Macaca mulatta: one gene and its partner. The protein of the gene in region 1 purifies or fractionates together with the protein of each later gene. This does not show direct contact. Links are inferred from orthologs where the notes say so. Each region holds a gene or a part of one and is shown on either strand. Other genes may lie near its edges.

Region 1 (5,035 bases):
CGTTCCCGGTTTTTTTCCTGAACCCAACGCGTGCCGTGCCCCGTTTCCCCCCATATGTGTTGGGGAGGGGTGTCCTCAATGGGGTGGTAGATTTTTTTTTTTTTTCCTTAAAAAATTTTTTTGTTTTTTTTAATACTCAGAGGAGAGGGACATAGGAAAGGTAAAGTGGATGTAATCGGGTGGGTGTTAGGGTTTGGGGCTAGGTGGGGCCAATTGCATAAGCAGTGGAGTGTGTTCTCCCTGCAGTGTTCCTTCCCGTGGGATGATAACTCTTTAGCTTTATTTGGGGCTAGAATGAGATTTGAAGAAGGCCATGGAACTTCTCTTTAGAAAGCCTGCCTTGGCTGGGCCTGGTGGCTCACCTCTAATCCCAGTGCTTTGGGAGGCCAAGATGGGAGGATTGCTTGAGCCCAAGAATTTGAGACTAGCCTGGGCAGTGTAGTAAGACTTTGTCTCTACCAGAAAAACCAGGCGTGGTGGCGCATGCCTGTAGTCCCAGCTACTTGGGAGGCTAAGGCAGGAGGGTTTGCTTGAGCTTGGGACACGGAGGCGGCAGTAAGCTGTAATTGTGCCACTGTACTCCAGCCTGGGTGATAGAGTAAGACCCTGTATCAAAACCTGCCTTTTGGGATTGGGCTTCTGTTTTTTCCCATGACATACCCATCCTTTCCTATTTTGTCCTCTGGGTCTTAATATTAACTATCTTCCCCCAGAGAAGTACAAAAGTGTTAGGAAAGTTGTATTTTGGAGTTGTGGTAATTTCTGTCTTTGTTACTCTCCTCCCCTTCAGGGGGTTTTTAAATTTTAAAGATGAATGCAGTGAGGTATAATGGTGTGTGCCTGTAGTCCCAGCTATTCGGGAGACTGAAGCAGGAGGATCACTTGAGCCCAGGAATTTGAGGCTATAATGTGCTATGATTGTGCCAGTGAATAGCCACTGCACTCCAGCCTGGGCAACATGGTGAGATCCTGTCCCTTAAAAGCATATCTGCCTGCTCTGAATTTGGTTTTTTAATACCACTTACTGATACCTTCCCTGTAAACCTGTAGATGGTTTAATTCTTAGTGAAGAGACCAGTCTCATCTAAAATTATCCTGTTGTGGTCTGACGGCAAGTTACTTATCTTGAGTAATTTTTGTTTCTCCTTAAGTGGCATTTTGACTGTCCATTGCAGTGTTCTGATCTTAAAATTGACATCCACTTTCCTAATGTATATGAGATTCTCTTAGTTGAAGTAGGAGAATCAAATGGAGCAGTTGTCCTGCCCCCACCCCATGTTCTTACAAGCAGCTGTGATGGAGTTATTCTGACCTTGAGTCACTGCCTCCCATCATTTCCCAGACGTTTGGGCCTTGCTCTCCCTTTGAGAATCATCTTCCACATTTTTTCTTTCTTCTCCCACCTCTATTTGAGGTAGTGGCATCTGTGCCATTGGGTGGTTTCACTGCTCCTTTACTTCATTTGCAGTTTCTTTCCCATGATAGTTTTTAGTTGGGCAGTCTTAAAACCCCTCTGATAGGAAGGAAATTAGATGTAATGTGAGAGAGACCACAGTAAAATATGGGTAGTTTTGGGAGTGGGGTGGGGTTTTCAATCTTCTCTTTCCTCCCCATCCCCCCATGGGGTGTATTGGAGATCAGCTTCCTCCACCCCCCCAGGTTTAACCCCCCCACTCTGCCCTCCTCCCGTTCCCCACCCCTTCCTCCCCCCCAGCCAATGGAGATCTTCGTGGATGATGAGACGAAGTTGACGCTGCATGGGTTGCAGCAGTACTACGTGAAACTGAAGGACAACGAGAAGAACCGGAAGCTCTTTGACCTTCTGGATGTCCTTGAGTTCAACCAGGTCAGTTACACGTCCAGTAGGGGGATGAGCATTGGAGCACTCCAGCTGTAGCAGAAACCTGGATATTAAGTACACTTTTATTGAGGAAATCACATGTGTGATGTGGGAGAGAATTATGAGGGTGTAAACATTAGGGGCTGAGCATGAGTAAGGTGGAAGCTGCTTTTCTATTCTGTGGTTGGCATGGATATGTATGTCCTCAATAACCTCAAGGAAAATAAACTTCAAAAGTTAAGATCCTTGGCCAGGTACGGTGGCTTATGTGTGTACTCCCAGCACTTTGGGAGACTGAGGCAGGTGGATCACTTGAGTCTAGGACTTTGAGACCAGTCTGGGCAACATGGCGAAACTTCACTACCAAAGAAGAAAAAGTTAGCCAGGTGTGGTGGTGTATGCCTGTAGTCCCAGATACTCTGGTGGCTGAGGTGGGAGGATAGCTTGAGCCCAGGAGATTGAGGCTGCAGTGAACTATGATTGCACTACTGTGCTCCAGCTTGGGCAGTGGAGTGAGACCTTGTCTCCAAAAGTCCTTGAAAGGTTTTAGGAAGTTGTTAAAGGCTTGAAATGATTTTGGGGGGCAAGTTAGGGTTCTTACATGTTTAATTCCTCTAATAACTGCTTATTCAAGAGAAGCATTTGTGACTGGGTGCAGGGCAGTGGCTCATGCCCATAAATCCCAGTACTTTGGGAGGCTGAGGCAGGAACATCGCTTGAGCCCAGAACTTCAAGACCAGCATGGGTAACAGAGAGAGGCCCATCTCTACAAATAGTAAAAAAAAAAAGAAAGGAGTTGGGTGTGGTGGTGTGCACCTGTGGTCCCAGCTACTTGGGATGCTGAGGTGGAAGGATCTCTTGAGCCCAGGAGGTGTAGGCTGCAGTGACCCACGATTGCACCACTGCACTCCAGTCTGGGGGACAGTGACCCCATGTCAAAAAAGTGTTTCATTAATATACTTGTGAGTGGCCTATTTGCACTTAAAACTACTTTATAGAATTAGGATAGCTCCCTTAGGTTTAATGTTTTGGTGAGCAGGAATATCAGTTACCCCCCCAGATCTTAATTCTAGTTTTTTATCACTTTTTCATGAGGTGATCTCATCCTTGTCTCCTACCATGTCTGGCAGTTTTGGTTTCTGAACTTTGTGCTACCTCAGAGGCCAGCCTCCCTAGGGAAAAATCAGTGCTAAAATAAAGTTATATTTCCTCTTCTGCTCTAAATATATAATGGGGGAATAAGAGAGATGAAGAGGAATTCCTGAGAACGTAATTACTAGAAACTCCTCTCTCCCATGTAATGTCTCACACACACTATGGACTCCTATTCCCCCAATTCGCGACCCCCCCACCTCCCACCCCACCCCACAACAGGTGGTGATCTTTGTGAAGTCTGTGCAGCGGTGCATTGCCTTGGCCCAGCTACTGGTGGAGCAGAACTTTCCAGCCATTGCCATCCACCGTGGGATGCCCCAGGAGGAGAGGTGAGTTGAAGATGGGAAAGATATTTTGTGTCTTTGGGAGAAAGACAGTTGAGAGAAGGGCATCTCAACATTTTTAAAATTTCCTTTCTCACAAAGGCTTTCTCGGTATCAGCAGTTTAAAGATTTTCAACGACGAATTCTTGTGGCTACCAACCTATTTGGCCGAGGCATGGACATCGAGCGGGTGAACATTGCTTTTAATTATGACATGCCTGAGGATTCTGACACCTACCTACATCGGGTAAACCCCACAGGCTGAAGAAATCCCACTCTCCCATTCCCTTCTTTTCTATTTGTACATCTTCATCCCTGCCTCTGGATCTCTTTCCTCTTTGATCTTCCAGTGCTACCCTCTGTCTCCTTCCAGGTGGCCAGAGCAGGCCGGTTTGGCACCAAGGGCTTGGCTATCACATTTGTGTCCGATGAGAATGATGCCAAGATCCTCAATGATGTGCAGGATCGCTTTGAGGTCAATATTAGTGAGCTGCCTGATGAGATAGACATCTCCTCCTACAGTGAGTACTGATCTCATGAAACCCTTTAGGTCCTCCCTGTTCCTTAGTGTGTTTGTCCTAAATCCCATCACTTAGATCATTGGCACCTGATGCATAATGGACACTTGGCTGGTTCATGCCCCCTGATCTTTGATGCTGTGTTGGGATGCTTTCCTGACCTTTATGTGGGGTCTCTGTCTTCTCTCATCGTATTACATCCCTTCCCTCACCCCCACATCTGTTCTCTGAACCCACATAGTACACCAGCATCTGCATGTGCGCTGTGTGTTCCTGCCTTGCTTTCCCCTTTTCATGCCTTATTCTGACCATGCTATGTTTTCTCCTTAGTTGAACAGACACGGTAGAAGACTCGCCCATTCTGGAATGTGACCGTCTGTCCTTCAGGAGAGGACACCAGGGTGGGGGTGAAGGAGACACTACTGCCCCCACCCCTGACAGCCCCCACCCCATGGCTTCCATCTTTTGCATCACCACCACTCCTGAACCCCCATTTCTGATTTGTCAGAATTTTTTTTAACAAAACTAAAAATGAAACACATGTGTCTGTGGTATCTATAAGTGCTTCGTCCCTTTATTGTATTTGGGGTGAGGTATTTTAGGGCATGGTCCAGCGTAAATTCCTGTAAGGCCTGGGTGCCCTGCCTGCTGTGAGATTAAAGGGGAATGGGACTAAGACTGCAGAGCCCTGGCTCCCCCACTACCTGCCAATTGCCCGCGATTTGTGGGGGTCTCTTCCACTTTCTCTGGTCTGGGAGCGGCTGGGGTGTCTCTGATCCCAAGGCCGCTGGTGGGTGGCACATGGATTTTCAGTGCCAGAGGGTGCTGTGGGCACTAGGGGAAGCTTAGGCGCCTCCTCCCAGGCTCTCTCGGTGCCTCCTCATCTGTTCCTTCAGCTTCTGGATCTTGAGCACCAGGGCTTGGGCCTCCCAGGCTCCCTCCTGTCCTTCCAGGAGGGCCTGGTATAGCTCCAGCTGCTGTTCCAGCAACTCTTCAGCTTGGGCCAGCTCAGCTGTGCGGTGGATCCCGGGGCCCTGGTGAGGGAATTAGGGGAGGGAGCATCAGCCAGGGCAGGGGGCCGAGGCCCTGGGAAACTGTTGCAGGCTCTGGGCTGGAAGTGAGAAATTCCACCTTCCCTATCTGGTTTTGACCCAGTCCTTTAAGGACACCTGTATTGAGAAGCCCAGGTAGCTCCCTGT
Region 2 (5,035 bases), on another chromosome or scaffold:
TGCATAGAACTGTAGCAGCCTCTTGGTGGCCTCAGTCTTGCCTGCCCCACTCTCCCCAGAGATCATCACTGCCTGGTCCCGACGCTCTGTACGCAGTGCTCGGTATACAGTGTCGGCCACGGCAAACCTGGGGCAGAGGCTCGTCAGGGAGTTCGGGGGGGGGGGGGCCAAGCGGAGCCCCACAGGGAGTCCCGCTCCCACGTCTGGGTGGCGTCCTCTCGTGAGTGGAAGTCTAATACACCCTTGAGGATGTATTGAGGATGGGGACTGGGGGTCCCTCGCAGGTGTGGGCCATGGGAGATCTGTCAGAGCTGAGAATGGGCGTCACTGCCAGTGGGAAGACTGAGATGATCTCACAGGTGGGAGTCTGGAGGTCACTTAGGTGGAGGCTGGAGTCACTCATAGGTAGGGTTGGGGGGGTCTTCGCAGGTGGGGTTCAGAAGTCACTAAGATTGGGGGGCCACTCCCAGTTGGGGAACAAGTCATGGGTGTGAGGTGGGGTATGGACTGAGTCCCACCCAGATGGAGTTGAGTTGTGACACTCATCTCTGGTCACCCGGGGGTGAGAAACTGTGGGATTCCTCACAGCTGTGGCGCAGGAGGTCAGGATCATTTTATTTTTATTTTATTTATTTTTTTTTGAGACGGAGTCTCGCTCTGTCGCCCAGGCTGGAGTGCAGTGGCATGTGATCTCGGCTCACTGCAAGCTCCGCCTCCCGGGTTCACGCCATTCTCCCGCCTCAGCCTCCCAAGTAGCTGAGACTACAGGCGCCCGCCACCACGCCCGGCTAGTTTTTTGTATTTTTAGTAGAGACGGGGTTTCACCATGTTAGCCAGGATAGTCTCGATCTCCTGACCTCGTGATCCACCCGCCTCGGCCTCCCAAAGTGCTGGGATTACAGGCTTGAGCCACCGCGCCCGGCCAGGATCATTTTAGAGTAAGGGTTGGGTGGGGTCACTTCAGATGGAGACAGAGGGGTCGCTCCCAGAGGGGCTGGGGTCACTCACAGATGAGGGGGCACTTCATAGAAGCTGACGCCACGGTAACGCTCCATGTGCTGCCGGCTGTAGATCTGCAGGTCCCGGTAGGGGTTGACAGAGACCAGGACGGGGCCAATGTAGGTCTGGGGTTGGGGGAAGAGGGTCAAAAGTTGATCCCGGGCCAGGTGCGATGGCTCACGCCTGTAATCCCAGCACTTTGGGAGGCCGAGGCAGGCGGGTCACCTGAGGTTGGGAGTTCGAGACCAGCCTGACCAATATGGGGAAACCCCATCTCTACTAAAAATACAAAATTAGCCGGGCATGGTGGCACATGCCTGTAGTCCCAGCTACTCGGGAGGCTGAGGCAGAATTGCTTGAACCGGGGAGGAGGAGGTTGCAGTGAGCCAAGATTGCGCCACTGCACTCCAGCCTGGGCAACAAGAGTGAAACTCCGTCTCAAACAACAAAAACAAGTTTATCCTGGTGACCCCTGGTGTCTCCTTCCCCTCTGCCCTGTGTCTGTGACCCCAGCACCCCTGCCATCTCCCCACAAGGGCCTCACATAGATGAGGTTCTCCCGAAACCGCCGCCGCAGGTTCTCGATAAAGGCGGCCTCGCTGGTGAAGTTCTCCAGCAGCACGAAATCCTGCACCCCCACCCGGTCACGGGCAGTCAGCGCACTCTCCATGGTCACCCGAACCCCGTCACTGCCCAGGGCCTGCAGAGAATGGGCCACAGAAGAGGGTCAGAGTCATGGGGGACCAGGCAAGGCCACTTCTCCTCCACTGTGCCTGTGGGACTGAGAGGGAACGCAGGGGCTTGTGGACTCAGGGCTGGACATGGGACATGAGCCTGATGGGTGCGGAAGGCCTGGGTGTGGAGGGCCTGGGTTTGGAGGGTCTGGGTGTGGTGGGCAGGGTGCAGAAAGCCGGGTGTGGAGGGCCTGGGTCTGGGTGTCGCAGCACAGGGATCACCGAGGCTGCGGGCACAGAACAGAGACCACATGAAGCACTTGGGTCCCGGTGTGTACACAGGGCACGGACGCACGCAGGACCAGAGGGCAGAATCTGGGAGGTGCCGGTTTTGGGTGGAGAAAGGAGCGGGTCACAAGAAGGAACTCCTTGAAATAGCAGAAAGACTGCTCTGTGGAGCTTGGACCAAGCCCCTCCTCTCTCTGGGCTGCTTCCTCCTCAAGGAGGAGGAGTTAGACCAGGTGACCTCAGGTCCCTTAGCTCTGAGCCACGTGTGACAGGTGCTTTGGAGGACAAATGGCTCAGGGTCAATTCTGCAGGCAGAGTGGGGCCGTCTCTCCCATCGGGACCCACCCACATCTCCACAGGTAGAGCGTCTCGCACCAAGGAAGAGGTTACTCCCAGACTACACCAGAGGGGTTCCCCCGGAGGGCCTCCCACCCCAGCTGGGCTCAGCCACCCACTCCAGAAGGGGGGGACTCCCTCGCATGGCTGGGGCCACTCCCTTTCCTCCAGCTGCCGAACTCCCCAGGCGCCTCCTCCACTGAGTCCTGAGAAGCCTCAGGGGATGGGGGGTTTACCATGGAAAGCCCAGCTGCCTCTGGGTCCCACTGGAGGGCTCAGCAAGACCCTCACCCCACAACCAGGGCTGAGATGGATCCCCCTCCAAACAGGGTCTCAGGGCTCCAGAAAACGGACACCCAGAGTATCCAGGGTCAGAGAAGAACAAGGTGGTGGTGACTGGGGGTGGATCCCAAAGGGGCCGCCGGGTGTCCTCTGACCACAAAAGGCCCAGATTCCTGGCCTGGGGCGTCACTCCGGGCCGGGCCGGGGGCCTGCCCCTCCCAGGCTTGTCCTCCCCGCCCCGCTCCAATCCCGCGCCCAAGCGGCTGCCAAATCCGGCCGCGGTCCCCGCCCCCTCGCCCTCGGGTCAGGGGTCTCCGAGTTCTCAGGCGTCCCCGGCAGCTCCTCGTCCGGCCCCCCGGGTCCGAGCGTCCCGCGCGGCCCTCCCCGCCTCGGCCTCCTCCCCCTGCAACTTCCCGGGACGTTTTTCCACACGGAATTCCTGGGCCGCGCCCGCTTCCTGGCGAGGCCGAGGCGACGCCGCGAGGCGGGGAGGGGCGCCCGGGACCCTCCGCCCCGCCCTGCCCTGCCGCCCCCCGGCTCACCGACGCCCGGTAGCGCATCCTGCCCCGCCGGCCTGGCGCCCGCTCTGCTGCCCGCGCTCTGGGTCCCGGGCTCGGCGGCGGCGGCGGCGGCGTCAGCGAGGGAGGGCCCGCCCCCCGCACCGCCCCCACCAGGGCCCCTGAAGCGCGGGGCTTCCCCGGCCTCCCTCGCCTCCCGCGCGGCCGGGCTGGGGTCCCCGCCAGGTGGGGTTGGTGGAGGTGGGGGTGTCGGGGGGGGGTCCGCGGGCGGGGCCGGGGGCGGGCGGGGCGGGCTCCGCCTGAGTCAGGTTTTCCAGGAGGGACGCCGTTGGTTCCAGGGTGGAGCCCGGAACCCGCGCGGCCGCCGCGTCTACACCGACCCGGAACTCACTTCCGGGCCTGGGACGACACTCCGCGGCGGGCTCGGGTTCTGGGCGGGCACCGAGGCCTGCGGGTCCCAGAGGAAGCGGGATTTCCCTCCCCCAACCCCCGAACTCGAGTCCCGGGAAAGTTAAAAATAGAACCAATGTCCAAATACGGCCGGCGCGCCTGGCGGGCGGAGCGTTCTCCGTGCGGGACGCCGTCCACCCACACGCGCCGGGGCCTGGCCGGAGCCTCGAACCCAGGAAGATCTTGGTTTTCCTCGTCAGCACGGAGCGCGTGCCCCAGGGACAGGGACGGCCACCGGGTGCCCTGGCTGAGCGCGCGGAGTCCTCGGCACCTCTGGAGGGCTCAGTTCCCCCCTCTGGGAAATTCGCGTATCCCCGCCCACGGCATTTGGGGCCCACAGCCTCTCCCCACCCGAGGCACCCCACTCGCCTCTGGGCCCGGGCCTCCTCCCTCTCCTTTTTTTTCTTTTTTTTTTTGAGACAGAGTCGCGCTAGCTCCCACGTTGGAGTTCAGTGGCGCGATCTCGGCTCACTGCAACCTACGCCTCCCGGGTTTAGCGATTCTCCTGCCTCAGCCTCCCGAGTAGCTGGGATTACAGGCACCCGCCACCACACTCGGCTAATTTTTGTATTTTTGGTAGACACGGGGTTTCATCATGTTGGCCAGGCTGGTCTCGAACTCCTGACCTCAGGTGATCCACCCGCCTCGGCCTCCCAAAGTGCTGGGATGACAGGCGTGAGCCACCGCGCTCGGCCCATCTCCCTCCCTGCTTTGAAGGGGACCTCTCTCGTCTCTCCGGATCTCCGGGACGCCCCCCAACTCCGAACCGGCCTTGGCAGCCCCGCCCTCGCTGGGCTCTGCGGGCACCACACTCCCTCGCCTGGGGCAAACCTTGGCTCAGATCCCACCGCGGGCAGGGGCGGAGACGTCTAGAGCCAGCAAAAGCTGGTGCTTCCTCGCGGTGGGACTCTGAGCTAGTCACTTAACGTTTCGGCTTCTGTTCCTCATCCCCAACATGAGGTTAACACAGGCCTAGAAGGGCCGTTGGGTGGCCTGAGATAGAGCGCGAAGGCATCTCCCAGACCGCTCTAGACCCCGCTTCCCACACCCACCGCCTTCCCTCCGCCGGACGCTCATTCCTCACTTGCTTGCGGGCAGAGGCCTACTGAGAGTCAGGCCCTGGGCCACGCTTCCGATCCGGTGAGGAGAGCCTCAGGCGCGTCTACAGGCACCTGCCTGTCCTACCAACGCAACGGCAGACACAGACTCGCCCTGGGGGGGTGGGCAGAGCCGGGACCCAAAGCCCCAGCGCCCCACCCCCAGCTCGCGGACGCCGCTCCCTGGGGAGAGGGCGAGGCTGCGGCAGGTGCGGGCTGGATCCTCGCGGGGAATGCTAGTTACTGCAACAACAGCCCGGCCGGAGCGGCGGCCCCGGGGACCCCCAAGCGGGGGCGCCAGCTGGTGGGGGCAGGGGAGCGGGGAAGGGGAAATGGGGGCGTCTCGGGCAGAGGCGGGGGAGGGCGGGAGGAGGCGCCCGCTGCGGTGCCC

Evidence for each region.
Region 2: the proteins of DDX39B (region 1) and MYO1C purify together in Homo sapiens (affinity purification with mass spectrometry; 5 studies listed by BioGRID and IntAct, with this or other methods). This does not show direct contact. The link is inferred for Macaca mulatta from reciprocal best matches to the Homo sapiens genes DDX39B and MYO1C.

The regions. Positions count from the first base shown.
Region 1 is NC_133409.1:150,796,368-150,801,402, forward strand, and holds the end of DDX39B (spliceosome RNA helicase DDX39B), read left to right. Parts: intron 1-1,714; coding exon 1,715-1,846; intron 1,847-3,214; coding exon 3,215-3,324; intron 3,325-3,420; coding exon 3,421-3,565; intron 3,566-3,691; coding exon 3,692-3,839; intron 3,840-4,166; coding exon 4,167-4,183; downstream 4,184-5,035. Other genes in the region: MCCD1 (mitochondrial coiled-coil domain protein 1 precursor), read right to left, coding at 4,682-4,870. UniProt on the Homo sapiens protein: Involved in nuclear export of spliced and unspliced mRNA. Component of the TREX complex which is thought to couple mRNA transcription, processing and nuclear export, and specifically associates with spliced mRNA and not with unspliced pre-mRNA.
Region 2 is NC_133421.1:3,034,437-3,039,471, forward strand, and holds part of MYO1C (unconventional myosin-Ic), read right to left. Parts: intron 4,757-5,035; exon of another isoform or gene 4,632-4,756; intron 3,823-4,631; exon of another isoform or gene 3,489-3,822; intron 3,343-3,488; exon of another isoform or gene 3,140-3,342; coding exon of another isoform or gene 3,122-3,139; intron 1,700-3,121; coding exon 1,544-1,699; intron 1,125-1,543; coding exon 1,009-1,124; intron 128-1,008; coding exon 1-127.